Linked DNA regions of Macaca fascicularis. The protein of the gene in region 2 interacts with the protein of the main gene of each other region in a biochemical or structural test. Links are inferred from orthologs where the notes say so. Each region holds a gene or a part of one and is shown on either strand. Other genes may lie near its edges.

The links.
Region 1: the proteins of ATF7IP (region 2) and methyl-CpG-binding domain protein 1 form a complex in vitro, tested with the Homo sapiens proteins (2 studies listed by BioGRID). The link is inferred for Macaca fascicularis from reciprocal best matches to the Homo sapiens genes ATF7IP and MBD1.

Annotation. Positions count from the first base shown.
Region 1 is NC_088392.1:39,458,568-39,474,849, reverse strand, and holds the start of methyl-CpG-binding domain protein 1, read right to left. Parts: upstream 12,372-16,282; 5' UTR 12,251-12,371; intron 10,900-12,250; 5' UTR 10,875-10,899; coding exon 10,765-10,874; intron 7,811-10,764; coding exon 7,696-7,810; intron 7,605-7,695; coding exon 7,438-7,604; intron 7,351-7,437; coding exon 7,268-7,350; intron 7,022-7,267; coding exon 6,981-7,021; intron 6,620-6,980; coding exon 6,473-6,619; intron 6,370-6,472; coding exon 6,241-6,369; intron 6,086-6,240; coding exon 6,011-6,085; intron 5,887-6,010; coding exon 5,770-5,886; intron 5,687-5,769; coding exon 5,618-5,686; intron 4,973-5,617; coding exon 4,805-4,972; intron 4,483-4,804; coding exon 4,183-4,482; intron 4,090-4,182; coding exon 3,952-4,089; intron 3,575-3,951; coding exon 3,443-3,574; intron 3,358-3,442; coding exon 3,296-3,357; intron 2,154-3,295; coding exon of another isoform or gene 2,114-2,153; exon of another isoform or gene 435-2,113; coding exon 245-434; 3' UTR 1-244. Other genes in the region: CXXC1 (CXXC-type zinc finger protein 1), read right to left, coding at 13,486-13,632, 13,747-13,899, 14,159-14,255, 14,397-14,446, 14,586-14,696, 14,775-14,982, 15,256-15,440, 15,598-15,717 and 2 more. UniProt on the Homo sapiens protein: Transcriptional repressor that binds CpG islands in promoters where the DNA is methylated at position 5 of cytosine within CpG dinucleotides. Binding is abolished by the presence of 7-mG that is produced by DNA damage by methylmethanesulfonate (MMS).
Region 2 is NC_088385.1:17,276,909-17,293,190, reverse strand, and holds the end of ATF7IP (activating transcription factor 7-interacting protein 1), read right to left. Parts: intron 9,245-16,282; coding exon 9,132-9,244; intron 7,812-9,131; coding exon 7,392-7,811; 3' UTR 2,531-7,391; downstream 1-2,530. Other genes in the region: PLBD1 (phospholipase B-like 1), read left to right, coding at 1,531-1,713. UniProt on the Homo sapiens protein: Recruiter that couples transcriptional factors to general transcription apparatus and thereby modulates transcription regulation and chromatin formation. Can both act as an activator or a repressor depending on the context.

The DNA.
Region 1 (16,282 bases), on a different chromosome or scaffold from region 2:
CTTCCAGTAAGATGGGCCACAAGAGACATTTTGCTTGATAACTGGAGGGCAGAAGTGAAGCAGCAGCATATTGTTTTTACACTTGGAAGGCTGGTGCTGGGGCACCAGGCGCTGTTGCAGTTCACACATTGTCATGTATCTGCTGGATCACCTCGTTGGTGTGGGCAGCAGCCAGGCCTGCAGCTGCTCCACCTTCCCCAGGATCATCTCTTCAGCTTCTCTAATTCCTGGGCCAGATGCATATTTAACTCTGTGAGGAAGGGCACCAGCTTCTTCTGCAGGACACCCACATCATCGAAGCTGGAGGTGGTGAGAGACTGACATGGGTTCCAGGCCATCCTCGTGGGTTCCAGCTCGTGCTCGTGGGCTCCACTGTGTCCTCGGTCTCCCACAGTTTACATCCATCTTCCCTTCCCGAGTGCCTGCCCTGCAGACTTCAAGCTCCAGCATTAGATGCAAAGATAACAGCCTTACAGAGACTGTTTAACCAGCTCCCACAATGGCATGCGGTCAGATCTCTATAATAAATCCCTTAAAGTACATATATACATAATCTTTATCTTAGTGGTTCTGCTCTTCTGATTGTACCCTAACATACATGGTAGGCAGAAGCTTAACTCATGAGTCTAAATGTCAATCAAATAAATTTCATATAGTTCATTGTCAAAATTACCAGAATACTGGGGTTGGGTGGTTGGTTCCTGGGGGAAACAAAGCAGTATCAGTCTATCCAGTCTTGACTAGGGCTGAACTAGTTAGGGTGGAATAAAGGAAGGGGTGGCGAAGGTGGCAGAGGCTGGACTGTATGATAGAACTGGGAAATGGCTCATCCATGTCTGAATTACTTAAAGCTGCAGGGCTGGGACTAGGGTAAGGCAAGGGAGGCACGTAGGATACAAAGTTTAAGGAGGCACTCACTCAGTCCTGGCCCTGTAAAGCTGGCTAACAAATTACAGGTCTAATCTTTTTGGCACTTTATGAATGAAGAATTGGAAAGAGTGAGGTAGGGCTGAGCCAAGACTGGCCCTTGGGCAGGACTCGAAGCAGGAATTCAGCCTCCTAGAAGACATTTGGGCTGAGGGCAGGAGCCAAGCACAAAGGTCATCAGAGGGCAGGAGATGCACGTTGTCAGGAAAGATGAGCCAGGCTGGCAGCTTTAGTTACAAAGACTGCTCTAGCTGAAGAGGGGGAGTCAGGGTAACAAGCAAAATGGACAGCAGCCAGTGGGGAGATATATCCTGTAGGGTTTGAGGAATCCTATGCAGCACCTGGGGTCTGCAGGAAACCCAGTTTCTGTATGAACAGATGTTCTGACAAGGTGACCCCATCTACATCGAGTCTTGGCACTTTCTAAACCATGCTAGAGACAGGAATGTAAGGGATTTATTATAGTACTTATAGTAATCTGTGTTTTGAAGGTCACCAAAAACTCCTATTAGTGCATACAGGATTACAGGTTACAGTTTAGTGGCTTAAAGAACAAGGGCTTTAAAAGCTGGGTTTCATTCTAGGCTCTACTAACACCAGCTGTTCGACATTGGACAAATTAATGAGTCTCAGTTTTCCCATTCACAAAAATGGGCAAAATCAATGTCTTCCCAAAAAGATTATTCTAAGGATTAAATAAACTGGGTCCACAGAGGAACACACCAAATAGCAGTTCCTTTCCTTATTTATTCAATTACATTTTCAATTGCTGTCTCCCTGAGGAAGTATGTAGAGACACTGCCAGGTCTCATCCAGAAGCCACTTACAATTATTCATGAACATGGCTTGTTTAGGTTGTTTTGTGGTGGTTTTAATTATATTACCTTTCCCCATCCCAGCTCCCCCACCCTTAAAATCCAACTTCTTATACTCAGGCTCTTGGGGAGGAGAAGATGCACCAACTTTCTACTCTTTCTCTTCCTTTCCCGCTTACTTCTTCTAGAAGCTCAAAGTACTGTTAGGCCTGCTCCTCTGGTTTCGTGGTAGGTTTTTCCTCCTAGGGTTGATTCACACACAAGCCCTGGCAACCAATCTAGGGTCCAGCCCCTAGTAGATCAGTGTTGTCTCTCATAAAGCCAGTCTGCAAATATCACCTTGAATCCTACAGTCTGTAGAAGCCTCCAGTCTACTGCTTTCTAGCTCCAGGTTTTTTAAGGTCTTTGGACCTAGGGAAGAGGGAGCAGGTCTGTATGTTGAATGAGGTTTGCTATATGCGAAATGGAGCATTACAAAACCATTTCCTAGTATTCTGTGTCCTCCATCCACTTCCCCTTAATTATACCTTTATCTTTTTTTATATCTTCTAAAAACTACCATTATAGACAGCTTGTCCATAGTCAGATAATAAGCTCCCTGAAGGTAGGTATCCTGTGTCTCCTGACACAGGATATAAGCTTTGCAGGGCTCATTGTCCTCAATGCTGTGCACCCAGCAGGAACTCAATCAAGACTTCTGTAATTGGCCAAGCATAGATGAAAGGGTTTCCAGCCTGGTGGGCTAGTTTGTAGGAGCAAAGGAATCCACGTGCTTGGCCAATAGTTTACATTGCCAGTGTCTGGGGCTCTATGCAGGGTCTGTCAACATTCTATAGGAGTCAGCGTTCCCCTGCCCTCCCAACCATTCTAGTCCTTACAGGCATCTACCCTTTGTCCTATGCCAGGACTATAGGGACAGTTCTGCATGGCATCTGAAGTTAATAACCTCAATAGGCTCAGGAAAGGCTCAAGAGATCCAGCCCAAGCCCCTCCACAGAGGCAGCTCCAGGAAGTACAGGGCAACCAGAGATCACGCAACTACGTGTGAACCCGGCTCACAAAGCCAGCTCGGAACCCAGATCTCCTGCCCATCCCACTGCCCAGGCAAGCCCAGCACCATTTCTCTGATATACATTGCTCAATGTCAGGCAACAGCCCACCCAGAAGTCTCCTGGAGACTCCAAAGGCCTTCAAGACTCCAAATGATTATTCTCTGAACAAGAATTTATATATTAAAGCTGACCCTTATAGATATTTCTTAGCAAAATAGGGACCAGACTCCCTATCTTTTTCTTTCAAATTTCATGATAGAGTGTCAAGTCTTCCCCCTACCCCCAAAGGAGAGTCCTAACCTGGAATGCTATTGGGCTGGATCTCCGGAGAAATCTCTATGGTCCTACACACATGCCCCTCATTAATTGTGATCAGCATAGTGGGTATGGGCCTTTACCTCCCACCACACCATGCCAAACTGCTGGCTATACTTTCAAAACTCAGGGCCCACATCTGGCCAACACCCCCTCCTTCCCCACCCCTCACTGTGTGGGGCACACCTTGGCAACCAGACCGCTGTATCTCTGAAGCGGGTTCCACCCAGGCTGAAAATCTCCGTGATCTAGAGAAGAATTAACACCATAGGTCAATGTGGTTGTTGGGGCTATGGCAGGGTCAGGGCAGGGTGGGGCATCCCCAGCACTGACCACGGGTGTGCCAGCCCCTCCTGCCTCTTCTTCTGGGGCCAATTTGGAGGCAGAGTCATCCTTGTTCTCCTCCTTGTCCTCCTCAGGGTCAGGTGGCTCTTGCTTCACAGATGGCAGGCCTGGGTCTACTGCCTGGGAGAAGTAGGAAACAGGCAGCCATTAGAAGGGCAGAGTTAGCCCGAGGAAAGTCTCTATCAGCCAACCCCTCGCTGTGCTGACAAATCCTACCTTCCATCACATTTCAACACAGAAAGGCCATCTCTGCCTATAAACCTTTCCCATTCCCATTCCTCACTGACCTCCGTTTTTCTGTTAGCTGGACAGCAAAGCGGGCAAAGCTAATTGCCTGCGGGAGGTAGGGTGTCTGTTAGACAGGCGGGGTAATTCTGCAGAAAGGTTGCAATCAGCACATCTATTGCTCTGCTTAAGAGAACCATCATGGCTCATCATCACTCTGCTTACAGACCAGCCTGCTACGGCATCAACAGAACATCCATCACTGCCCCCACCTTGCTAGGGCAGCCAGGCACCAATACGGGAGAAGTCAGGACAGCTGTGCCTGGTGTCCACTCGTCCTGGGTATCCGCCTTCTCTTGCTTCACCTGGGGTAAGGCCACAACCCAACTCAGGCCAGAGCACTGGGCCTCCTGCGTGAGGGAGGATTGCAGCAGACTTGGTCTCAGCTCCCTGGCATGAGGCTGGGTGGGGCTGGGAAGGGAAGGACAGGGTGGGGCCCTCACCTGCAACAGGGCTTCTGTGGAAGCTGCAACAGGGCCTGGCACCTGCACAGGACTGCTTGCGCCCTCCCGTAAAAACACAAGGTCAGTGCCAGGCGGAGGCAGCACAAAGCCACCACCTGCTTCCTGCTTCGTTGGAGCCTGGGTATGGTCTGGTTGGGCTGTGCGTGTAGCCAAGGTGGGCTTCAAGGTAGGCCCAAGATGGTGACGTCGGGCAGAGCTGGGCCTCTTTCGACGATGGTAAGGTGGGGGCGATCCTGCCCCATCCTCAGACTCTGACCAGACACTGGGCAGCAGCCGCTTCTATGAGGAAAGATAGGGTGCTATGGCTACCTGGTGTCCTGACCAGTCACATCCACCCTGCCCGGCTCCACATGCCTGCTAATCTCCCATCGGTCCCAGCATGGAATCTGCTTACGTATGAGCCCTTCGTCATTGAGCCTGCTAGTCTCCTATTAGCAACACCAATGCCACCTAGACTCATTAAGCCAAGCACAATGTCTGTTAATCCTCAACCAAAGCTACTGCGCCACCCACCCACCTACCAAGCCTGCCCACCACTCCCAGGCACTGGGGCGCCTGGCCCAACCTATCCCGGCCACCTGACCCTTCCTGCCCCACCCACCATGGCAAACTGCAGGCATTGGCGCCAACGACACTTCTGGCGCTTCTGGTTGCTGCCCCCGAATTTGGGCTTGTCGCAGCAGAAGTCGCAGCGGCCACAGTCCATCCGCCGTAGGCAGGCTGCACAGGCCCCGCACTTGCGGTTCTGCCGGCGGTTCGTGTAGGGCTGCTGGGGTGGGGGGAATGGGTGGTGCTGTCAACTAGGACTAGGAGAGGCCATCCTCAACGCCTATTCCAGTGCTGGTCCTGGTGCTCCTCTAGCCCCATAAGAAGGAGCTACTTGCATACTAGTCTCAGCCTCCTGACTCCCAGCTAGTCACTCCTCAGCACTTGCTAGTTCAACATTGGCCACTATCGCTGTGCCAGCTGGCCCTCGATACCATTAGGACTGTGGCTGCTCCACTACAATATCCAGTGCTGTATTTCCTAGGCCACCACTGGCTACCAAGAAAATGTCTCTAACCCCCATTTCCAGCAACATTTTGATAACTCTCTATTAGCTCCCATCACTGTGCCTACTCTGTCTGCTCATCCTGTGTGAACCCCAGTCATTGTGCTAGCTGCTCCTCTGTCAATCCCATCACTGTGTCGATTAGTCCTGCATCAGCCACCAGAGTGTTGATACATGTGACATGAGGCACTGTCATTGCACCTGCTGACCCTGTATTAGTCCTCCATTATCTACTCATCCCATCCTAGGACCCATTATTGTGCCTTGCTGTTCCCCAATAGGCTCATTCCAGCATCTGCTTCTTTGAAGTTAACCAAGCGTCCTGAGAGTCTAGGCTTATCCAGGTAGGGTAGGGCCACTCACTAGCTCGTCCTCGTCTACACAGTAATAGATGAATTCGGCAGGTGGCGAGGGGGCCAGGGCTCTGGGGTGCTGTAGAGGCAAATGGGGTGGGGTCAGGGCAGGTACTGGGTAAGGTCAGGGTTGTGCCTTCCCTCCACCCACTGGGGCCTCACCGGCTCTGTGGGCTCTGGGGACTGTGATGGGGAAGGTGGAGGCAGTGGCTGGGCTCCGGGGCGCCTCCTGGCAGCCATCTTGGAGTCACAGCCTCCCTTGCGGCGGGCATGTTTACCCTGGGAAAGACCAGAAAGGGTGGTTTCAGCTTGGTGGCACCAGGCAGACACAGGAACTCCCCACTCCCTAAGTGCAGAAAGCATGCATGGGACAGGCAGACAGAGGGTGGCATGAGGCACTCACAGTTGGGGGAGCCACAGCCAGGGGAGTGCGTCGCTGACATCTCTGATGACGGCGACGCAGGCGGTGAGCAAGGTGCTGGCAGACAGGGGCAGGCAGACGGGGCCAGAAAGGTGAGCGTGGGGTTAGGCAGAAAAGAAAGACATAAGGTAGGCAAGGCCAGGTTGAAAGGAAGCAGAGGCAGCCACGATTTTAACAGCAGAGTGAGCTCTGCTCCCTCCAGCCCGACTCACCCGTAGGCAACGTCGCTGGACACATTTCCACTGGCGCCTGAGACCAGGGCGGGGAGGGCGAAGGCAGATGGGACAACGGCCACAGTCCTCTTGGGTCTGACAGCCCCGGCATACTCCACACCCTCGGCTCTGTTGGAGGGGATGTGGGAGCAGAGGCATGAAGCATGGGGCCAAGCCCACGAGGGCCAGGGGCCGAGGTGAGCCTTGGGCTCTTTCCACTTGCCCAACTCACCCTTTCCACAATCCGGAGGCAGCGTCTCCGTTCACACTTGCAGAACAGCCCCGATGCCACATCATGGGGCAGCTGCAGGAGGCACGTGGAGCAGGCCCCACAGTCTTCTGTTACCTGGCAGGCTGCACACTCCCCACAGCCCACACGCTGCCAGGAATGGTAGGGACGAGATCACGGGCCTGCTCCAGAAGCACTGGTCCTCCCATGTCTACTGACCCTACATCAGCTCCCATCACCGGGACTTCTAGTCGCCCATAAGCCTCATCACTGAGGCCATTAGTATGTCTACTGGTCCCTTGCTAACTTCATCACTGTGTCTACTGACGCACTAATGGTAACGGGAATTAATTAACCCATTGATTCTCATTACTGTGTTTGCTGACCTATGGAGAGCACCCTATAAAATGACTTCATCCTGTGGACCTATCATCATCCCTTAGGACTCTACCAGCTCAATCACATCCTGCTCCCACTGCAGAGGTGTGAAGAGAAAGCAGGTTGTGCTTACCTTAAACATTCTCTGTTCTCGGTTGAAGGCAATTCTCTGTGCTGTGGGGAGGAAGAGAGAAGAAGAAAAGTGGAAAGAAAGCAACAGACATCTGACTGATTCACTCACTGCCTGTGCCCTGACTTCCACTATTCAACCTCTACCCATGCCTGCTATCTCCAGTATCCAACCTCCAACCATGCCAGTAGCCTCTGTCCTGACATCTACATTCAACCCCCAGCCTAGCATGACACTGAACCTGCTCCAGCTCCTATCTCCCGATGCCCCATCCTCTGGGGGTCACTCACCTCGACAGTCTTTGCACAATGTTTTGAGCCGCTGCCTTTGGGTGCCATCCCCTGAGAAGCTGATTCCACAGTTCTCACAGCATCTGGGATGGGAAAGGCAGGTGAGGGGCTCCAAGAGCACCCCCAATCACAACCCTCACCCATCTGGCTCACCTCAAACCAACACTCACCCAGGAGCAGGGAATGAAGCTGGGGCTGTGTCAGTGTCAGCCTTGGTCTCGTCCCTTGGGGCCTCCTTCCTGACCTCACCACTCTGGGGTCCAACCTGACGTTTCCGAGTCTTGGCTGGCTTTGAAGGCTTCTTTCGCTTCTTGCTGGCAACAGCCACAGGATGGGCCTGGAAAGTAAGGGAAGGAGGCATATGGGTCAGTGGGTGGGTGCTGAGTGGCACAGCCACCCCTACCTAGGCATCTCACATTGTGAAGTACCTTGGGGGCTGGATAGCACAAGATGCCTTGTTTGAAGTCGAAGAGGGTGAGATCACACGCAGGGCCCAGGTATCGAGTCAGCTCAACTTTGCTTCGGATCCTGTCTCCTGTGGGGCTAGGGATGGGCCATGATGGGTTAGCACCCAGGTGGAGCCAATGTCATTTCACCCACACAACCTTCCGACAGGGCTGGCAGGATACAGGAGGCAGCCTGGAATTGGCCTGTGAGCCCTGCCCAGCCCCACCTCAACTAACCTTGAAAACATAAAAAATTAATATAAATACCAACACAAATACAAACATCAGAAACAATACAAATGTAAACAGACATATATTTATGACATATAATACTAGTAATACTGCAACTATTTCACGTAAGTAAAAATAGACACAAATAGAAACACAAATATATTAAATAACATATAAATATGTTAGCACTGGCCAGGTGCGATGGCTCACACTTGTAATCCCAGCACCTTGGGAGGCCAAGGCGGGCGGATCACGAGGTCAGGAGATCAAGAACATCCTGGCTAACATGGTGAAACCCCATCTCTACTAAAAATACAAAAAAAAATTAGCCACGCATGGCGGCGAGTGCCTGTAGTCCCAGCTACTCGGGAGGCTGAGGCAGGAGAATGGCTTGAACCCGGGAGGCGGAGTTTGCAGTGAGCCGAGATTGCACCACTGTACTCCAGCCTGGGCGACAGAGCGAGACTCTGTCTCAAAATATAAATAAATAAATAAATAAGTTAGCATTATGTACCCAGTATATAATCAAGCAAAGAAAACAACACAAATATGTTTTAAAAACACACAAACAAATACAACTACACACAAATTAAAGTATAAGTAATTGATTTTGGGACCCCCGGTTTCTTGCATTTCTGTACGCCCTGCAAGAGAGACACCGATTATTCTTTTTGATACACTATCTTTCCAAGGATGTTTGTAAAGCAAACAACCTTGGAAGATAAGAGATAGGGTCTCCTTCCATAGTAAAAAGAAAGCATACTTAGTGTCCTAACGTTATTAAAAAAACTTGATTCTCTAAGCTCAGGGTTCTTTTCCTATAATAATACAACCCTCTTCATGTCATGCTGTAGGAATTGGGATTCAGGAAACTGGCACAAAAATAGTAATACAGTAATTCCCCCTCTCGTCAGGGTATACATCCCAAGTTCCCCAGTGGATGCCTGAAACCGTGGATAGTACCAAACCCTAATGTAATATGTACTGTGTTTTTTTCTACCTGATAACTGAGATGGTTACTAAGCGACTAACAGGCAGGTTATGTATAGAACATGGATATGGATATGGATATGGATATGGACAAAGAGATGATTCACCTCCTGAGCAGGACTGAGCAGGATGGTGTGAGATTTCATCACGCCACTCAAAACGGCACACAATTCAAAACTAATGAATTGTTTATTTCTAAAATTTTCCATTTAATATTTTTGGATGGTGGTTGACTGTAGGTAACTAAAGCTGTGGAAAATGAAATTGCAGATAAGGGGGAGACTTATTCTGGATCCTGCAACTGTTATAATAAACTGTCTTTGACCTGTAACCCAGGAGTCTTACCTCTCCTACCAACATCTACAAAATTCTGACAAATTCACTATTATCTTGTCCTAAGAATGAAATCTCAGATCCTTTGTAGTTCCTGACAACTGCACTTTTAAGTTTTGAAAGTTTTATACGAGTACATAAATATGTGAATAAATTATAACTAAATACAAACAAAAAGTAATTTGTAATTTGATATTTACCTGGAAAACTGCAACTTAGATTTAAAAAATCAGAACGAATATAGAAACATAATAATTAATGTAGCCTAAACACATGTAAATGCTTATAAACATCTATGCTGATTCTCATTAGTTATGGTAGATATGTTCTACAAAGTTGCCATGAACATTGAATACAAAACCATTGCTCCTAGAGGAAATACAGGGTTAGGTTCCTGAGAGCATCTGAATTTCTGTTTTGTGCGTGTTTCTGTTTAAATACACATTACTTAATATATATTTTTTACAAATGATTATTTGCATGGTCTTTGAATGACTCAAACCAGGGGCTTTGGAGGCCATATGTGTTCTGTAGGTTTGTTTGCCAATATTTTTGTTTAACAAGCCAATCCCATTGGCATTGAAAACCACTCTTCTACACAACCCCTTTCCTATAAAACACTTAAAAGGTATTTTTAAAACTCTTCGGAAGACTCCTGATCGGGAGAACCTGCATTGCATGCAAGTTTAACATTTTTCATGCCATGTTGCCTTTTGAAATGTGCAAGTCAGCCAGCACTAGCTGATACAACCTTAATATTTTCCTAACCCAGGGTAACGTGACTTTGGCTTTCCTCAACAATGCTGTCCACTATGCTTTATTGATCGTCATTTCATGAATCCACCAACGTAGCTGCTTTCTCATCTCTTCCATAGCTTCAAGACTATAAATGCTTTCTGTATTTTCTGAAGCAGCCTTGTGCACATATTGGCAAATTTCCTTCTTTTTCTGGTTGTACCATAATTCTGATGCATAACATTGAACTTACAGCCAACAGCATTGTAACTCAGATAACCAACAAGGTTTATCTGCCTTGTATTTTCTCCGTAAGGCACGACATGGCCTTCTCACACTCAGAACACTAAACAGCACCTCAGCACTACGCTTGAGGACTATTTTAAAAAGCAAAATCACCAACAAAACATACAAAAATTAGAAAAATGTGACACTAAACAGACCACGAAAAGGTCACTTGTTTACGGTATTAAAGCTGAAATAAAAAGGGCTCCTTCAGTCTCAGCTAGAAACACATGCATTGAGTGACAGTTTTTCACTGCTCTGTGCATGTCCTTCAATAATCACAAATGCACTGTGAGTAGTGACTTTTAAGTTACAAATACTGTATTAAGTAGGTGAAATTGCAAACACAAAATCCGCTAATAACGATTAACTGTTTGTGCATAATTTAAACTCCATCCATAAATTTAACCGCACTATTTGATTTTACCCTAATGAGGCTCTACCCCACCCCCACTCTGCCCACAACCCACCCAGTACCTCTGGTAATAGGTGTCTGAGCGTCCACAGGTGGCCCCTGACTTGCGAAAGACTTCACGGCGCTTCCAGCCAGGGCCCAGGGCCGGGCAGTCCAGCCAGTCCTCAGCCATGGAGGCCACAGAAAGCAGCAGTAGCCTGAAAGGGGGTTGAGGGGATGAGGGAAACTGAGGCTCTAGGAAGGGACAAAATGTGCCCCAGGCCACACAAATCACTGGTATCCATTAGTGCTTGCCCAAGACCTAGGACCTGCCGCAGGCAACCAGCCCATATATGGAGAAGAAACCCCTCATATTCTCACCCCATTCTTTCCTATTCTGGGCCTAGGAGATCCTCATTCCTCAACCCAAGGATCCCTGTTTATTATTCTTAGTGTCCTAATCCCCTACTCCTCTCTATCCTCAGACTGACAGCCCATCATTTCTCCTCACTGCCAATTCAGAAACTTTTCATCTTCCCCCCTCATTCCTCCCTGTCACTGACCTAAGGGCCTCTATCCCTCTATTTTATCACCACAAGACCCCCATACTTCCCATCCTCAGCCCCAAAGGGCCCCATTTCTCTTGCCCTCACTACTTGGCTTCAGTAGTCTCTCATTCCCCCCTTCCCCGACCCAGGAGTTCCTAATTTCCTTCCTTCAGTGTTTTAACCATTCCATTCCGTCTCTGCCTGATGTCCTCTTATCTTGCTACCTCAGTGTTACAACCTCGACTTCCTCTGCGAGACACAACTGCTCCAACCCATGACCCGAACAGCCCCTCATCTTTTCCATTTCTCACACACTGGAAGCCTCCCATGCCTCCCCTTCCTCAGCCAAGAGCTCCCCCCTTACTTTTCTTCTCCTTCAATGTTCTGGCCCACAATTTCTCCCCAGTCTCAGCCCCCAAACCTTCCTGTTTCTCTCCTCTACATCCAAAAAGTTCCCCACTTCTCCCTCTCACTGTTCTCATTCTCCATTCCTCCCTTATCCTGAGAGACCCTAATTTCTCCCCTCAGCATTCCGAACCCTCCCCCATTCTCTGTTCTTGTCCTGGGATCATGCCATCCCTAACTGTCAGCGTTCTGATCCCCTACTGCTCCTCGTCCTCTATATGGGGCCTCCCATTCCTCCCTTTCAGCATTCCAACGCCTCCATTTCTCCTGTCATCAGCCTGAGGGCCCCTCATTTCTCCCGCTCGGAGTTCTGAACCCCCATTTCTCTCTCAACTTCAGATGCCCTGATGTCTCCCTTTAGCGTTCTGATCTCCACCATTCCTCTCCGTCCTCGTCCCAGGATCCCGACACTCCTACCTGTCAGAGTTCTGAGCTCCATTCCTTCCTGTCCTCAGCCTAAATTCCCCTGTTTCTCCTCGTCAGTATTCCGACGCCGCCATTCCTCCCCCTCATCGGCCTGAGGGCCCTTGATTCCTCCCCGTCAGCGTTCTCAGCCACAATTCCTTCCTATCCTCCGCCTGAGCACTCTCCACGTCCAGCCCCAAGGCTGTCTCACCAGTTTGGCACCAGGCTGGTATCTTCCGCCACTCTAGGCCCGTGGACCCATGGCTAGGGTCCCTCCTGCGCCTCCCGCCTCGCCCTCCTCCCCTTCTTCCTCCTCCGCGGCCGCCTCCTCTGAAGCGGTAGCTGTCGCCTCCGCGGCTGTTCGTTGCTCCCGGAACCGGAAGTCCGCTGCCTTCCTCTCGGGCTCCGCCTCTGGCTAAGCACCTGCGCGCTATTGCCTCGACGTCGCGTGCCCTTAATAGGGAGGCTCCCGCGCCTGCGGGCTGGCGCTCTGCAGCGGGGCGCGCGCCCCCCGGCCGAAAACCAGTTGCATCTGCGTGCTGACGTTCAACGACAGCTCGTGCCCCATCGAAGGAGGGACCTGCAGTCGGGGCTGTGCTCGCTGACCATCTAGCTTGCGCATGCGCTCTCCAGTCTCAAACTGAAGGGAAGTCGTCGGGGAGGGCTTGCGCCTGCGCCCTCCCTTCCCTCCCGCGGTCTCCGAGGCGGATACCCACAGCGGCGAGGAAGCTGCTTCGCGCCTGCGCACTCCCTGACCCAGCCGGCGCTCTCTTCTCCCATCTCTCGCTGGGGTCTATCCTGTGCTCGCCGGTCCCTCCGAACATCAACCCCAGGGCGGTCGTGTCCCGCTCCCTCCTCCCCGCCGAACAGGTGCTGGAGCGCGCGGGGCGGGGAAAGGGGCGGTGACGCACCGCAGGTAAACTGAGGCACGCGGGAGGGCGCGCCCCTGCAGGAGGCGAATCCCCAACGTGGGGCTTGTTGGGAAAAGGCGGGGCCTGGCGTCCACAGTGGAGGACAGCTCTGGGTGGGAGACAGGAGCACGCGTGGGCGGTGTCACCACACTGAATACGTGCTGCGTAGACCCTCTGCCTGTGGGAGGCTGGGAATGTGGGTCCCTGGGCCCTCCCGGGGTGCAGGCGCCCCCCATCTTATCCAGGAGTCTGGAACAGTTGCAACCGCAGCAATGTGGACACAGCTTCCTTGGTTTCTTCAAAATTTTATTAACAAAACCCAGGGAGAGGAGGCAAGGATGAGTGGACTCCGCAGCCCCACCAGGCACTGAACATGTCGACGGGGACAGACCCTCTGATAAAGGCAGACGGGCGGTCAACCGGTGGATGGGCACAGGGAGAACCAGAGAAACAGATGAGTGGAGGAACGGACACATGGGCACCGGGCAGCTCCCCCATCTGGAATGCAGGGTGTGAGGGGTCCGGGCCAGAAGGCTCAGCGGTCGGCACTGGAGCGCAGGTCGGTAGTGAGGGGATCGTGCTGGATTGTCTGGTGCAGCATCAAGGCCAGCAATCCCGCGCGGTTTGTCATGGCTGTGCGCACATTGCGCTCCTGCTCAAACAGCTCGTCCAGCTTGTACCACTGCCAAGAGAGCGGCAGGAGTCCTAAGCAGGAACAACTGAAGCCCCGCCTGCCCTCGGCCACGTCCGGCATGGAAACCTACCACATGCACCATGAAACCACAGCGAAACCTACCACACGCACGCGCTCCAAGTCCACTTCCGCACGCCGCAGCTTCTCCCAGCAGTAATGGCGATTGCACTGGCGTTTGGGCAGGCGGCAGAAGTCACCCGTGAGCTCAAAGACATCACGTACAAGGGGGCACCCGCATACCTCGTCAGCTGGCACCTGCAGGGAGGCCGGGTTGGAGGGATGAATAATGGTGATAAGGGAGAGTAAGAATGGGGGCTCAAGGAGGGAGAAGGGAAGGAATGGAGGGTTCAGGGAACGGTGAGGAGGCATGGAAAAGGGAGGAATGGAGGGTGAAGCAGCAGGGAAGGTGAGAGGAAAAAGTGAAGGAAAGGTGAGGTGAGGGAGGCAGGGATGAATGTGGGACAGTGAGGCAGGGAGGAGGGGCAAAATGGGAGGAGCTGAGGGAAAACCTTACTTTGGGGTCCCGTGAGTGCTCGGGGCACAGCACCTGGAGCCGCTTACAGTATGTTTTGCTCTGAGGATTATACACATCACAGAAGAGTCGTGTGGCCCTGGGGGTTTGGAATAAAGAGAGGGTAGTAAAGGGAGGTCCACCTGTCCTTGCCCGTATCCTGCCCCAGTTCCACACACATCCCACTTCTGACCTCCGCCTTAACCCCCCACCTCTCACTTCGCGTGGCACCCTCACTTACCCTTCAATGCGTGTGGGGTACATGGACCCAAAGGATGTCTGGCTCTCATACTGGAGGGATGAGCACAAATGGAGGGAACTGTGGATGTGCGCTGCATGCCCTCCCAGGACACCACCCAGACAACAAATCTGTCCCCCACTGGCCCACCGATGTTCCCACATGGTCTGCCCCCTCAGTCTGACCCCCAACCTTGGCATAGCAGCGCTCCATGTGGCGCAAGGCAACACGTGGGTTGATGGGGTGCCCACAGGAAACACAGAAGATCTGCAGGTCTGTGTCATCACTGTCACCCTCGTTGCTCTGCATGGGGTGGAAGGAACAATAAGGCTAGGAAGGACAAAGTACCGGCCCTGCCCCGCTGCGCCCCTGCTTGCTCACCTCCTCATCCTCGCGCACAGCCTGCTGCTTGGCACGCAGAATGATGGCCTCAAGCTCATGGAATCGGCGTTCCATTTCCTGAAGGCGAGTGCGGGCACTCTGCTGCTCTCGGCGAATGCGTTCCAGCAGCTTCTTGCCGTGCTCTTCAGCAATGCAAGGGCTCTGCTGCCACTGCTGGATGCGCTGGGGGAGGATCTCATAGATGCGGCTGCAGGGAAGGTAGCAAGCAACAGAATGAGTGAGATGATCAGTGAGGGTGGGAAAACAGATGCATGACTAAATGGCAAAAGGAGAAATAAACAGGTGACTGGTGGAATGGTGGCTGGATGGACACGGGGCGGATAGGTGGATGGGTGAGTGGGTAGTGGCTGTTTGGTGACTGAATGGTGGACAGCTGATTGACTGGTAGACATACAGAAGGCGGTGGTCAGGCCCTACCATGTACTTCCTGACTCCCTTGAACCCCTCAGGAATGACTCACTTGGCTGCCAGCTTCATGCCACAGTCATCTGAGCAATACTTGGAGCTGGGCTGGGCGGGGCGCACACAGCCGGGCCCCAGGCACTGGGGCAGCGACGCAGGGTCCTTGGCATCAGCCCTCTCTGGGTGTTTCCATTTATCCTTGTGCTTCTGCTTCTGCCGATGCCGCTTGTATCGCTCCTCCTTCTGTTAAGCAAGACAGGTCAGGTCAGGGTGGAGTCAAAGTCAGCCCCAAACCCCAGACTCCTGCTCCATTCTAGCCCTTTCTGGCTCTTGCCCCATTCAGCCTCTGACCTCTGCCTCTCCCTCAACCCCACCCTCTGCCTTTCCACATCCATTTTACCCTCTCCATCACCTTCTTCTCAGACTTCTTCTCCCGACGCTTCACATGCTTCACTTTCACTGCCCTCTTCCGCAGCGCAGGGTCCAGGAATGGGGACTCTTCTGTGTCGCTCATCCAGGGCTGCAAGCAGGGCATGCACTGACCCACCTGCCCCGCTCATGACAACCCCACCACCTACTCATGTCCCATATCAGCCTTCCATACCCTCTGTCTCCTCATTATGGATACTCTCTGCTTCTGTAACCTCCACCCTTCCACCAGGGGATGCTCCTATCTGCTCACCAGGCCGTGGTCATCAAAGGCCCCTGCACAGAAGTCCTGATACAGGTCAGGATCCAGAGGTAGGTCCTCATCTGAGAGTGGCTCAGGCGTGGCTGTAGCCTCAGGAGGCTCCTTGACTGCTGATGATGCCACTGCTCCCTCATCTTCACGGATGCGCCCTAACTTCTGTGATGGCTGTGGCTGCTGTTGGGTGGGCAGTGGCCGGCGGGGCCTTGGCAGGGACTCTGAGGGCGTCACTGGTGAGAGCTGCGGGGCAGAATCTCAGGACTGGCCCTGACCGCCCTGCCCGCATGCCCCACCCCACCCTGGGGAGCTGGACTCACCGAGGAAGGGAAGTACTTGTACGATTCCTGTGCCGGCAGGAGGAAGGCCCAGGTCAGCCCCAGGTGGATGGAGGGCGGCC
Region 2 (16,282 bases):
GACCCCAGTTATACATTATTCTCTATCAGCCTAATACCTAAACAGGAAATGCTTTAAAGTATCTTGAGTTCCAGCTCAACCTTCTTTTTAGCTATGTGATGAAGGCAAAGCTTTTAACCGTAATGATTCTCAATGTTAACATTTAAAAAAAAAAAAAAGGTAGATGTAGAGAAGCTGGCACAGATGAAACCCTTATGAATGTTTTTGTGTTCCTTTTTTAAAATGGTATTTGCAAACATTCAGTCAAATGTGTGAAGTTTGTATCTATCACAGAATACACCAAGAAAATCACCTGTGCTGCCTTGCCTGGGAGAACTCAAGCCAAGCTTCCCTCTACCAAATCTCACTTCTGGAGACAGAGGCCTACAATTGTTTTTATCAAAAAGTTTCTGTTGAAGGATATTCTTTAAAAATATAATTTCTCTCTTTATGGGGAAAATCAGAAGAGATTCTCTTTCCCCTCTAAGATTAGGATCCACTGCTAGTCAGTGGTTAGGTGTTTTTGAGAACCATGGCCCTCAATTTTTGACAGTGAGCTCCATCTACTTTAAGACTCGTTAGGCCGGGCGCGGTGGCTCAAGCCTGTAATCCCAGCACTTTGGGAGGCCGAGACGGGCGGATCACAAGGTCAGGAGATCGAGACCAGCCTGGCTAAATACGGTGAAACCCCATCTCTACTAAAAAATACAAAAAACTAGCCGGGTGAGGTGGCGGGCGCCTGTAGTCCCAGCTACTCGGGAGGCTGAGGCAGGAGAATGGCATAGACCCGGGAGGCGGAGCTTGCAGTGAGCTGAGATGCGGCCACTGCACTCCAGCCTGGGCGACAGAGCAAGACAACGTCTCAAAAAAAAAAAAAAAAAAAAAAAGACTCGTTACCACCCTGATTAATAACAACTTTTTCTGAGGACTTCATCTATTCTAGGCATTGCTTTGAGCATTGCTTGCATTAATCCTCATGCCAACTCTATGAAGTAGGGTTATCAGCCCTTTTTACAAAGGAGAACACTGACTCATAGAGGGGTTAAGTGATCTTTAAATGAGCTTTGGAGCTAGAATTCTGAATGAGTAATCTGACTTCATAGCTTGCTTTTGGCTACATTGTTCATTTCACACACTTCTAGTTGATTGACATTTGATGCCAAATGTATACAGAAGACTACATCATACAAAGACAGTGTGAAAAATGGCAAGAAAATTTTGTTTTAAAGAAGGCAGCCTGGCGCAGTGGCTCATGCCTGTAATCCCAGCACTTTGGGAGGCTGAGGCAGGTGGATCACCTGAGATCAGGAGTTCGAGACCAGCTTGACCAACAAGGCAAAACCCCATCTCTGCTGAACCTGGGAGGCAGAGGTTGCAGTGAGCCGACATTGTGCCACTGCACTCCTGCCTGGGCAACAAGAGCGAAACTCCGTCTCAAAAAAAAAAAAAGCTCATATTATGACTTTGGTAGTTGGGGGAGTGGGAAAGGTCATGGGTTTAATTTTTTGCCAAATGATTTTTCTAAAATGTCCTCCTCCTCTCTCTTTCCAGGTGGCAGATATCTACCTAGCATCTCAGTACACATCCTATGCCATAAGTGGCCCCACAGTACAAGGTGGCCTCCCTGTTTTTCACTGGAACCGTTTCAACAAAACTCTACATCAGGGCATGCCAGAGGTCTACAACTTTGATTTTATTACCATGAAACCAATTTTGAAACGTGACATGAAATGAAGGAGGGAGATGACAGACTAGAAGGCTGTAAATAAGAAACCAAAGGCACTATTTTAGCTATGTTTTTCCCATCAGAATTATGCAATAAAATATATTAAATTCATTTGTCACTTTCGTTTTCCACTGACTTTGTTGTTTTTACAGCAAGCACTTGCTATAAGGTAGAGCACTGTAGAAGAAATGTTATATATATAAATAACACTAAGCTTCAGTATACATGCTAATACACAAGAGGGTATGGCAGAAACTGCTCCTTCATTCAGCAGAATTCATATTCTCCTTTCATGCCTGCTCACACAGACCACATCTCCCAGTGTCCCTCAGATAGTTGTGCCACATGACAATTCTAGCCACTGGAACCTGAGACAAATGCCCGGCCCATAAGAATCTGTACTCCTCCTATGCTCTTTCCTGTTTCCCTGGATGAATATGCCTAATGACAAAACCCTAGGGGACGCTGGAGCTTCGTTTTCAAAGGAACCTCTAGTAGTAGTTAGTGATTGTAGTGATTTTTCAGGTCATTAACAGGCATCAGTTGAGTCCTTTTGTGGTGTAGGTTAGGCATACAATATAGTAAACCTTACTGTTGCCTCCTATAAGCCAAAAGCACCTATACAAGCTGGCAGCAACCCTGCATAGCAACTTTCTTTCAAAGTTGGAGAGTTACATGTGATCTGAGTGCCATGGAATTGCGAAGTAGGTTAAATAAGCCACACCACATAGTATGTAATGGGTGACTTTAAACAAGGCGGAAGATTCTTAAAAAAGAAAGAAAAAAGCCACAAGGGTGAATAACCAGAATTAAACAGAGTACTCAGAATGTTAAAAACCCAGTAGTTTTATTTCAAAGTATAAATTTCAGGCTTGCTGGACAAAACCCCACTACAGTTAACACTTATACAGACACCACTCTACTATACATTTAAAAAAGAAAAACACACGCGCGCGCGCACACACACACACACACACACACACACACACAAACCTTCAAAACCCTAATAAAAATAGGGCCACTTGCTACAGCCCAGTTTGTATTAGACATTAGGAAGGTCTTACTTATATTGTCTTATTATTTACACTTTCAACTGCAATAAAGAAAAATTAGGATGCAAGTTACTTACAAAGGATTTTTATATTTAATTTTGAAATGGCTGATAAAATACTAAAGCCAGAATCCCCAAAAGGTGTTTGATTGCCCAGTTACCTTATTTACAAAAACAAAACAAAGAAACAGACAAAAACAAAAACCTCAAAAAAATGATAAAGACAGCATTTAAATATGGGTACTTAGCTGACTCTACAAATAAAAAACAAAGAAAAGTTTATTTTAACATGGTAAATTATTTGAAAATGAGAAAACAAAACATGTGTTTGCATTATCCTATTCCTCCCCATTGGCTGGCTCAAGGGGATGAATGAGTTTCAGGAATTAGACAAGTCTGCCACTCCAACAAACGCTTCATGAGAATTGCTGATTTGTGTGTCCCAAAAGTTAAAAAAAAAAAAAAAAAAATAGGGCATTTGCCCAGTAAAAATAATAAGGAAGGTAGAATCACACATTGGTTTTAGACAGTTATTTGATATTGCAAATACTAGGACTTGATTTTTCTGGAAATTAGGATAAAACAGGCCAACCACAGGTCAGTGATAAAACAACAAAATCATAGGATGTTGAGGATACTGAATTGGCCCAAGAAGCAAAGTCAGGGAGAACATTTGGAAGGAAGGTCTTTGCAGTACCTTACTGTGCTAAGATCACAGTGTAAAAAAGTGAGAGATGAGGATACCACAGGCATTACTTTGTTAACCTTGTACAGTACTGGAAAGTTCATGAAACAAGATAAATGAATACCATGCAGTATTAACCCTGACCTTGTTGCATAAATGGTAATTTGGAGAATATTTAAAGCAAAAGAACAAACAACAAAGTTAACACTTACCCAATGCAGTAAGAGAACTGTAAGACGCAGCCTACTTAAGGAGGTCTGCAGATAGATGCACCTAAGATTTAAGCTGTTTTAGGTCACTTTTTCAAAGTATTTATTATCTGGCAATGGGGATGGGAGTGGGGAACATCTCTCTGTGAGGCAAATGATATCTCCACAAATACCGACTTTTCAAGGAAGAAAGCTCTCCACTTCTCTCATAAATGTATATACTATCTTAAACAGTATGCAGTATTCTGCATATTTTTAAAAAATGAATCCAGAGAAATAGAAGGATATAGTTACCTCATAAAATTAACTGTTAACAACAGATGTCTTTGTATGTGATTTATAAATTTCTTGACAAGAACAAGAGGCTTACTCACATTTAAGACAGTGAAAATTACTCTCACAGAATGCAAAGTATAGAATAATAAACATCACCGTTATCTTTAAATGCCATACAAACATCCTACATTGCAGGTTGCAGTATCAGGTTTCCAGAATTTCCAATAAGGCAATACCTACACAAATATTGCCAGGCTAAAAATGTAGTAAAACTTGCATTCCCAAAATGGGAGAATCTAGCTTATTTGTAATACTTTGTGAAAAGATACTATGAAACTAAAAAGTTAACCGCGGAGTGGAAACTGCTACTAGAAAGTCTGTTATCAGTAGCTACTTACTACTTAAGTCCTCCATTCTCTCTCCCAGAAGCAGCAAACCAAACAAAAAGCATCTATCAATATTAAAACCTGCCTCAATAAAAACCTAGTGTTCTAACCTAGCACCTCTAGTAAATCTAATATAGCTGCTGCCCCTACATGCCATGGTAGGCTAATTTGAGTATACTATCTTATAATAAATATACTTCTCCCCTAAATAATTGCGATCTCTCCCTGTACCTTCCTTCCAACTGGAATAAAACATTTTAAGTAATTATTTTACTTTGGTAAATCTATTTTTAGAACTGCTATTTGAGAATTTGTTTTCCTTTGACAGAAACCATAATATAGGCTAGGATAATGATTTTTTTTTTTAAATTCTACTGGGCTTTCTTCATTTGATTAAATAATGCTATGAAAGCTTTTTTAAAAAAATTAGTAAATATAAATAAAAATGTTCATCAAGAGAACCTTTTGTAGGTTATGTAAGAAAATTGTAACCACGTGACCATAAAAACACCCAATAAAGAACAATTTGAACAAGGGCCTTCAATTTTGTAGACAGGAATAATCTTGAACACATAATCAACACTGCAACCACTGCAGGTCAAAACATACACATGCAGATATAGACAGGTGTTCATATACATCTAGAAGATCACCGACTCCTTCCTTTTAAAATTTTCGTTGCCATAACAATGGCAACTTCTTTACCATCATCATTAGTCCTAGAATGAGTAATATCTACATAGTTGGTTGGCAAATTTGATTTATAGCATACTCCTTTGTGGTCTCATTTTCTGAGAGTGAAAGGAGATTTGGAGCATTAATTTTTTGGCAATCTATAGGCTTTCTTCATCATGAATCAAATCTTACACCTCAGATGATAGTATACTGACCAGTCAAAAGTCTCTAAAGAGTTTTCTTTACAACTAGAAAACTTCCTGTTATAAGCCATCAAAGTTGCAAACAAACAACATTAATAAAAGAGAGAGCTCCCTCCTGCAATTCTAGGAAAAATGAATGACTATTTTGAGAAGGTAGAAAAATGGAATTCAAATATTGCAAAGGAAGAGGACTTGTAAGTTATTTCACAAACTTCATAAATTCCTTTCAAAATATTCTCAAGTACATTCTCACTCCTAAAACTTAACCCAGCCCTCCAGTCCTAAACTATCTACACTCAAAACACCTACCTGAAACCAGTACAGCTGCCCCTCATATTAAAAATCCATGACCTAAGCTGAATTTTAATAACTTTGAAGAGGAACAGAGAGATACACAGGAGGTTATATCTAATTGTTACATAAAATGACCTCAAAGAATATACTTTAAATTCTTTTTTTTTGAGACAGAGTTTCGCTCTTGTCTCCCAGGCTGAAGTGCAACGGTGCAATCTCAGCTCATTGCAACCTCCGCCTCCCGGGTTCAAGCGATTCTCCTTGCCTCCTGAGCAGCTGGGGTTACAGGCATGCACCAACATGCCCGGCTAATTTTGGGATATACTTTAAATTCTATCCAAAGCTAACAATGGGTACATCAGACTCAACTTGGCACCATCAAAACAAAGTTAAAAGGTTAAAACAGGAAGGACGCTGTGAGAATAAAGAGGAAATGAAACTTTCTCCTTGATATTTTAGCTCATTCTATATTGTGAATCTTTCTATTTGCTTCATTTGAAAGAATACTAAGGAATTAGTATTGGGTGATAGCTTTGGGTGATAAACTGAACTAGAATCATTTTCATAATCTCTAACACAGTGTGCAACACGGATACTAAAACATGTGAAAAATTTTCTTCCACAATATGGTTTTCGCTTGGTCCACTTTACACAAAGTTAAATAGTGACCAAAAATAAAAGCATCTACAGTTTTAGAAGAAAATAGCACGTCAAATTTTTGGAGTTAAATGTGATGCCATCACCATGCCCGGCTAAGATGAGACTGTGCATGCGCATGTGTGCGTGTGTGTACAAATACCTCCATGTACACACACACACCTTGGTTTAAAAATCACTTGAGTAGGCTGGGCACGGTGGCTCACAACAGTAATCCCAGCACTTTGGGAGGCCGAGGCAGGTGGATCACCTAAGGTCAGGAGTTTGAGACCAGCCTGGCCAACATGGTGAAACCCCATCTCTACTATAAATACAAAAATTAGCCGGGCATGGTGACGGGCACCTGTAATCCCAGCTACTCTCGGGCTGAGACAGGAGAATTGCTTGAACCGAGGAGGCGGAGGTTGCAGTGAGCTGAGACTGTGCCACTGCACTCCAGCCTGGGCAACAAGAGCGAAACTCCATCTAAAAAAAAAAAAAAAAAAAAAAAAATTACTTGAGGAGGTGTGCAAGAAATCAAGGGTAAAAAGGCTGCAAGGGAAGAGTAAGCAACCATGGACATATGGCCATGTTTATTTATTTATTTTTGGCCATGTTTATTTTTGTAGTTAATCTTTAAGGCACAAAATAAATGTAAAAGCCAGATCAGGAAAGGGAGGGGGCCATTGCAGATCTTTTTTAACCTAATTAACAACTTAGGAGACCAGACAAAAGAAACAACAAATAGATCCTTTCCTGTGTTCAAATCAACCTATTTTAAACTATTTAGCCATTTTGTTTTTAATTCATTTCTTTGGGTTTTGTTTTGATTCTGTTTAAACCATTTAACTAAAATGATCCTACAGATCCTTTAAAAGCAGAGTCATGCCAGTTACACATCTCAGATCCTTTGATCTACTACTTCGTACTTTAAGAGGTAAATTTGAGAATAAAAATGGGAGACTCCAATGCAGTAACACATACATAGGGAAAAACACACATAAACACCCACACATATTCCCCAGCCTCAAAACTAAAGCAAGGTACACATTTACATTTCCAAACCCCAAAGCCTAAACTGTCCAGGAAAAGATTCTAGCTTTGTGGGCTGAGTTTATTTTGCTTCTGTTTATAAACAAATGTAGTGTATACACACATCTGTCCAAGAAATCTTGCACAAGGTGGATTTTACATGGGGTATCATGCACAAGATTAAAAACAAGACCAAAAGGTGGAAATTTTAAAAGAGGAAAATATAAAGGCTCCAAGGTTTAACTGCTCTGGGTGGAAGAGATCACATCTGTTGACTGAGGATCACAGAAAGGCCCAAAACGTCCATAAATATCCTTGGCTCGTACTGCAAAGTAGTATTTGCTACCAGATACAAACTGGGTGAGAGTACATGCCATGGGCAAGGGAAGTGCCTTGACTTCCCCTATCTTTTTCCATTGTGAGGGCACGGTGGCACTAGGTTCCTCATGGTAAGCATAGAGATGGTAGCTATCAACAGTGGCACAGCTTCGATCCACCTCCAGGACACTCCATGACAGTACTATGCCATTTTGACTCTGAACTCGTGCTAACTTCAAGTGTGGCTTCTGAGGCAGAGATGTGCTGGCAGCTTCTGGGGGCACACGCTGTGGTTGTGGAGCTTCTGGTAAGGGTGCTGGGTGCACAGGGCGTGGCGGCTCCTAAAAAAACAAGTCACACTGATTTATAATGATCGCAAAAAGAACATTTTAGAATGTTAGGATTAAAACACCTTAGAGAACATACATAGAGATACCATTTTACATCAAGAATTCTAGGAAATACCAAACACCATATCAAATTTGGCAAGTTCTATTTGGGGTTTTGTAATGAATGATGCCACAAACAATGATGCTGAGGTTATTCCTGCTCTATTTCCTAGACCTAAAATATTTTGAGTTTTTCTTAGGAAATAAAAAGCCCCTGCTGATGGAACATCATTTTGAGGAACACGGAAATAATGATCTACTTCTAACAAAATAATTTATGATTGAATTATCTATGTTACAGATTATCACTTCAGTATAACATTTTAAAATATCATGTATGGCAATCAAGATCATATAAAATTGGAGAATACAACTATACTTTCATTTTTAAGTTATTTTGCAATATAAGACAACAGCATATTCTTATAAATAAGCGTATTAACACTGAATGTGTACTATATTCTTGGCCAATTTACAAAAAAAAGGTGATATTTAAACTGAACTGTGAAAGATAGGATCTAGAGATGCAGAAATAATCATGTACCTTTTAGCCAAAAATAAAGCATGAGCAAAGGCATGTGGACAGGAAAGTGAGGGGACGTATGGACAACAAGTATTAACTTTTTCTTGGATATAGGGTACATGAAGAAAAATCTGGAAAGGTAGGTTAAGGCCAGATGATGAAAAAAACGTGACTCTAACTTTAGGAGTCCTATTGACTTTTCTAACACTGGAACATCATCGTCATTATGATGATATTTCATACCAGTCAAACACTGACAAAATTGTGTCACAGGATAATGTGACATTGTTTTGGAGGCTAAATCTAAGGAGAAATCTTTGGTTATCTCTGCTGCCTCTTAACTAATGAATTCCCAATATCATTGGATTCTTTAAAACAATTGATGACAATGTAGCAGTTAGACGTGGCATAGTTTAAAACAAAAGAATAAAATTAACACATGGAAAAACGTCCTTTTTAATTTAACTATGAATTAGAAATGGTCTGTATTTCACTTCATATACCCCAACTGTGGACCTGTTTTTGTATACTGTACACCACAAGCAAACTCAATGATTCTAAATGATCATCATCCCTATGAACATTTGTTCATAATGGTTTAAGATCAATTTTTAGAAATAAACTTCTGAAAAAGCAGAAAGACCTAACAATTCCCTTGGATATAACCACTTTAAAGAAAAATGCCAACTACAATAATATTTTATACCTTTACAGTTGAGAATTTTACAAAACCAAGCATCAACACTTACAGTATGCACTTGTGGTGGTCGGTGATGCACTGTGAGCTGAGGTCCTGTGGATCCCAGGGTTAGTCCATTGTTTACAACATACGTGGTTGTTTGAGGCACTCGAACTGTAACACCTACAAAAAAAAAAAAAAAAAATTACAAGATAAAATAATTCTATTGTAAATTTGGTGGAAAACATTAAATATTTGAAGTCAGTGAAGCAATGTTTTCAAGATTTGAAAGGAAAGATATTTCTAACTTAGAGGTCCTATTCGTATTCAGCCAAGCTATCAACCAGCCTGTGGATAAAAAAACTTTCTTATGTGCAAGCACTAAAAAAAAATTCTAACTACCACAAACCTTCTCTCAATAGTCACTGGAGAATATGTGCCACTAATATGTGAGAAAATAAAGAGAAAAATATGAGACACAAGCAACAGGAGGTCCAGCACAGGGAGAAATAAAAGGATCCTTACCAGGAGAACTATGAACAAAAATCCTAGAACACTGGTTGTGTACCGCATGTAAAAGGTAAATGGCCATAATGGAGCAGTGTGACTCAAAAGATAGACAAATTGGGAGTATCTTCATAAAAAGCTCTGCAGTCTCATCTTTTCAACCAGGACAGAAAGCCAGAATAAGTCATCCTTGCCATGTACTAATGAAGTTCCTCTCATTTTCTCCATGCCTAGCTCCTTGGTTCAGGATACTCATTTCACCCCACAGAAAACTGCTGTGACATACACCAAGGAAACAAAAATAGAAAATTCAGAGCTACCTACTGCCCTGACCATACTCCTGCCATTTATTCAGTACCTGGCCCATGCCATAGTTTGGCCTGGTGCCTGGACGATAGTGAGCCAAGTTTCCCAGAACTCATTTCCAAACTTGTTGACTAATTTTCCCAGATAATGCTCTTGTAAACTTGAGAGAGTTGAAGCCAAACTATGATCCAGAGACTCCAATCAGTTTATTTTCTAATGACAGCATTACTGTTTCTTTAAACAGCTATATTTTTCCTTGCTATCACATTTTGCAAAACTACTACATATGTGTGATGGTTAAAACTGAGTGTCAACTTGATTGAAGGACACAAAGTGTTAACCCTGGGTGGGTCTGTGAGGATGTTGCCAAAAGATACTAACATTAGAGTCTGTGAACTGGGGAAGGCAGATCCACCCTTCATTTGGTGGGCGCAATCTAATCAGCTGCCAGAAAATATAAAGCAGGCAGAAAAACGTGAAAAGGAGAGACTGGCTGAGCCTTAGCCTCCCAGTCTACATCTTTTTCCTGTGCTGGATGCTTCCTGCCCTGGAACACTGGCCTCCAAGTTCTTCAGTTTTGGGACTTGGACTGGCTTTCCTTGCTCCTCAGCTTGCAGACAACCTATTGTGGGATCTTGCTTTTTCTTTTTTTTTTTTTTTTTCTGAGACAGAGTCTGGCTCTGTTGCCCAGGCTTGAGGGCAGTGGCGTGATCTCGGCTCATTGCAATCCTCCGCCTCCTGGGCTCTCCTGCCTCAGCCTTCCGAGTAGCTGAGATTACAGGCTTGTGCCACCATGCCCAGCCATTTTTGTATTTTTGGCAGGGATGAGGTTTCATGATGTTGGCCAGCCTCATCTCAAACTCCTGACCTCAAGTGATCTGCCTGCCTCAGCCTCCCATAGTGCTGGGATTACAGGCGTGAGCTACCATGCCCAGTAGTGTGGGACCTTCTGATTGTGTAAATTAATACTTAATAAAGTCCCCTTTATATATATAAACATTTACTATAAAGTATGCATTTTACATATATTTAATATTTATATATAATTAAAAGATACACTGTATATATAAAGTAGTAGGATATAAAGTAGATATATACTATTAGTTTATATGTAGTATATATTTTATGTATATACCCTATTAGTTTAATACATACATAATATATAAAATACATACATCCTATTAGTTTATATATATGAATATTGTATATAGGATACATATATGTGTATATATACATATATACACACACACACACAAATATATATATTCTATTAGCTCTGTACCTCTAGAGAACCCTAATTCAGATTTTGGTACCAGGAGTGGGGTCCAGAGGAACAGAATATTAAGGATGGAGTTCTTTCATTGGTTTTGGGGTTTCTGGAGTTGGCTGCTTAATGTGATTAGACCTAAAAATGTTAAAAACTCTATTTCTAATAGTATAGAGAACACTGATAGTCCCTGGTGTGAACTGTTTACAGAGTTATGCAAAATAAATGCATTTGACACTCCTGATTCACAGCTTGTGAGAAGCTAGGAGTTTAGTGACTCTATACATACCTTGGACCATATGTGGAGAACCAAGGAACATAATGAAGCTGGTTCCTAAGTGCAGTGGACAAGGTGATGAAAGAAAATGATGAACTCAGGGATTCTGTCTCTCAGCTTCAAAAGAAGATACTGAGGCTCAAAACTGCTAAGATTGCCCTGAATAAGAGTCTTATCTCCTGTAGAGAAAGAGCTGAAGTTGTGGAAAAACAGACATAAGCTCTTATCATGCGAGTGTCTGACCTGCAATGAAAGATACATGCACAGTCTTGCCAGGTGTCTACTGTTAAAGTGAGGGCATTGACTGGAAAAGAATGGGACCCTGAAACTTGGAATGGGGGTGCGTGGAAGGACCCAGATGAAGCTGGGGACACTGAGTCTGTAAACTCCGATGAAGCTTTTCTGCCAGAAAGAACAGCTTCCCCATTCCCAGTAGTGGCAACGTCCACTTCCTGACCCATGTTGCCATCAGTCTTTCCAACTTTGAGGAAATAAAGCCTGTGCTATGTGAGGCAACAGTGATGACTTCCCCTGAGGCATTTGTCAGGCAAGCCAATGTTGATTCTTCTCAGGAGCCACTCCAAACACCTCTCTTTGTTTCTGGACCTATAACTAGACTAAAGTACTGGTGGGCCCCTAGAGGTGAGGCTGGGAGTGTGACCCATGAGGATGTACGCTACACTCAAAGAGAACTGTTTTGAGTTCTCTAATTCATATACACAGAAATCTGGAGAACAGGCATGGGGATGAATATTAAGGGTATGAGATTATGGTGGAAGGAACAAAGTTGGATCAGGCTGAATTTCTTGATTTGGGCCCACTAAGTAGGGACTCTGCATTTAAGGTTGCAGCTCAGGGAGTTAAGAAAAGGTTCTAATAGGTTATTTGCTTGGTTGAAATAAGGATTAAAAGATGGCATACGGTGAGTGAGCTGGAAATGACTGATCTCTCTTGGTTAATGTACAGGAAGGGATCCAAAGACCAAGGAGATTGGGATGGTAGGGTGAATCAGTCACTTTAGAGCTAGTCATCCCAGCTGGGAGGGTCCAGAAGATATACCCTTGACCAATGCCTTGAGAAATAGATTTGTGAGGGCAGCACCTGTATCTTTGAAGAGCCCTCTAATTGCTCGACTCTGTATGTCAGATCTAACAGTGGGAACCGCAGTCACTCAACTACAAAATTTAAACATAATGGAAATAATTGGATCCCCAGGTGGCAGGGGCCAAGTGGCGGCACTCAACTGTCAAAGACAAGGTGGGTATAGCTACCATAATGGACAGCAGAGGCAAAGTGGCAATCAGAAGAGTCTGACTTGGATAGAGCTCTGGCATTGGCTAATTAATCACAGTGTTCCTAGAGGTGAAACTGATAGGAAGCCTACTGCATTCCTACTTAATTTATACAACCAGAAAGCTTCTAGGTCAAATGGACAAAAGACTAAATTGAATAATAAAAACAGAATGACGACCCCTCAGTGAATTTCTAGACTTGAGCCAGTTTACAGATCAAGAACCCCTTGAATGAAGGGGAGGCCTGATGCCCTTGAGGAATGACCCCCACTACATTCCCAACAATTTATGCAGTGAATCTTTCTCCCACCCTTCCCCAAGGAGATCTCTGGCCTTTTACCAGGGTAACTGTGCACTAGGGAGAGGCAAATGATCAGACATTTCAGGCACTACTGGACACTGGTTCTGAGCATTGATTCCAGGGGACCCAAAGCATCATTGTGGTCCTCCAGTTAAAGTAGGGGCTTATGGAGGTCAGATAATTAATGGAGTTTTATCTCAGGTCTCACTTACAGTGGTTCCAGTGGTCCCTGGATTCATCCTGTGGTCATTTCGCCAGTGCCAAAATGCATAATCGGCATCAACATACTTAGTAGCTGGCAGAACCACTACATTGGCTCCTTGACTGGTAGGGTGAGGGCAACTATGGTGGGAAAGGTCAGTTGGAAGCCATTAGAGCTGCCCCTAAAAAATAGTAAATCAAAAACTATCCATCCCTGGAGGTACTGAGGAGATCAGTGCCACCATCAAGGACTTGAAAGATGCAGAAGTGGTGCTTGCCACCACGTCCCCATTCAATTCTCCCATTTGGCCTATGCAGAAGACAGATGGATCTTGAAGAATGGCAGTGGATTATCATAAGCTTAATCAAGTGGTAACTCTAATTGCAGCTGCTGTATCAGATGCGGTTTCATTCCTTGATAAAATTGGCACATCTCCTAGTACCTGGAGTGCAGCCATTGACTTGGCAAATCCTTTTTCTCCATTCCTGTCCACAAGAACCACCAGAAGCAATTTGCCTTCAGTGGGCAAAGACGACAATATACCTTCACTGTCTTACCTCAGGGGTATATCAACTCTCCAGCTTTGTGTCATAATCTTATTCAGAGAGACCTTGATCAGTTTTTGCTGCTGCAAGATATCACACTGGTCCATTATATTGATGACATTATTCTGATTGGATCAAGTGAGCAAGTAGCAGCAAAAATACTGAACTCATTGGTGAGACATTTGTGTGCCAGAGGATGGGAAATAAATCCGACTAAATCTGGGGACCTTCTACCTCAGTAAAATTTCTAGGGGTCCAGTGATGTGGGGCCTGTCAACACATTCCAGTGAAGGCAAAGACTAGTTGCTGCAATTGGCCCTTCCTACAACCAAGAAACAAGCACAACGTCTAGTGGACCTATTTGGATTTTGGAGGCAACACATTCCTCATTTGGGTATGTTACTCCAGTCCATTTATCGAGTGTACTGAAAGGCTGCCAGTTCTGAGTGCAATCTAGAACAGGAAAAGGCTCTGCAACAGGTTCAGGCTACTGGGCAAGCTGTTCTGCCACATGGGCCATATGACTCAGCAGATTCAATGGTGCCTGAGGTGTGAGGGGCAGAGAGGGATGCTTTTAGAGCCTTTGGCAGGACCCCATAGGTGAATCACAGTGGAGGCCTCTAGGATTTTGGAACAAGGCACTGCCATCTTTTGCAGGTAACTACTCCCTTTTGAGAGACAGCTCTTGGTCTGTTAACTGGGCTTTGGTGGAAACTGAACATTTGACTGTGGGTCATCAAGTCACCATGTGACCTGAGCTGACTATCATGAACTGGGTGCTTTCTGACCTATTTAGCCATAAAGTGGGTCATGCATCAAATGGAAGTGGTATATATGTGGTTGGGTTCCAGCAGGTGCTGAAGGCACAAGTAATTTACAAGTGGAAGTGGCTCAAATGCCCATATCTCCACTCCTGCCACCCTGCATTCTCTTCCCTAGCCTGCACAGATGGCCTCATGGGGAGTCCCTATGATCACCTGACAGTGGAACAGATGACTAAGGCCTGGTTCACAGATGGTTCTGCACCATATGCAGGCACCACTGCAAAGTGCACAGAAGCAGCACTACAGCCCCTTTCTAGGACATCCCTGAAGAACAGCAGTGAAAGAACATCTTCTCAGTGGGCAGAATCTTGAGCAGGGCACCAGGTTGTATGATTTGCTTAGAAGGAGAAATGGTTAGATGTGTCATTACATAGATTCATGGGCTGTAGCCAATGGTTTGGCTGGATGATCAGGGACTTGGAAGAAGCATGATTACAAAATTGGTGAACAAAGAAATTTGGGGAAGAAATATGTGCATGGACCTTTTTAAGTGGTCAGAAACTGTGAAGATATTTGTATCCCCTGTGACTGCTCACCAACGGGTGACCTCAGCAGAGGAGATTAATAATCAAGTCGATAGGATGATCCGTTCTGTGGACACCACTCAGCCTCTATCCGCAGCCACCCTTGTCATCACCCAATAGGCTCATGAACAAAGTAGCCATGGTGGCAGTGCTGGAGGTGATGCCTGGGCACAGCAACATGGACATCCACTTACCAAGGCTGACGTGGTTATGGTTGCTGCCGAGTACCCAATCTGTCAGCAGAAGAGACCAACACTGAGCCCTTGATATGGCACGCCATTCCTCGGGGTGATCAGCTAGCTAGCCGGTGGCAAGTTGATTGTATTGGACCTCTTCCATTAAGGAAAGGGAAGAGGTTTATCCTCCCTGGAACAGACACTTACTCCAGATATGGGTTTGCCTATGATGCTGCACACAATGCTTCTGCCAAGACTACTATCCATGGACTCACAGAATGCCTTATCCACCATCATGGTATTCCACACAGAATTGACTCTGACCAAGGCACTCACTCTATGGCTAAGTGCGGCAGTGGGCTCATGCTCATGGAATTCACTGGTCTTACCATGTTTCTCATTGTCCTGAAGCAGCTGGATTTACAGAATGGTGGAATGGCCTTTTGAAGTCACAATTACAACGCCAACAAGGTGACAATACTTTGCAAGTCTGGGGCAAAATTCTCCAGAAGGCTACGTATCCACTGAATCAGCATCCAATATTGGTGCTGTTTCTCCAATAGCCAGGATTCACGGGTCCAGGAATCAGCAGGTAAAGTGGAACTGGCACCACTCACCTTCACCCCTAGGGATCTACTAGCAAAATTTTTGCTTCCTTTTCCTGCGATTATTACCTTCTGCTGGCCTAGAGGTCTTAGTTCCAGAGGGAGGAACGCTCGCACCAGGAGACACAATGATTCCATTAAACTGGAACTTAAGATTGCCACCTGGATACTTTGGGCTCCTCTTACCTTTAAGTCAACAGGCTATCAAGGGAGTTAGTGTTGGTTGTGGTGACTGTACCAGACTAGCAAGAAGAAATCAGTCTACTGTTCCACAACAGAGGTAAGGAAGAGTATACACGGAATACAGGAGATCCATTAAGGCATGTCTTAGTATTACCATGCCCTGTGATTAAGGTCAACAGGAAACTGTAACAGCCCAATCTAGGCAGCACTAA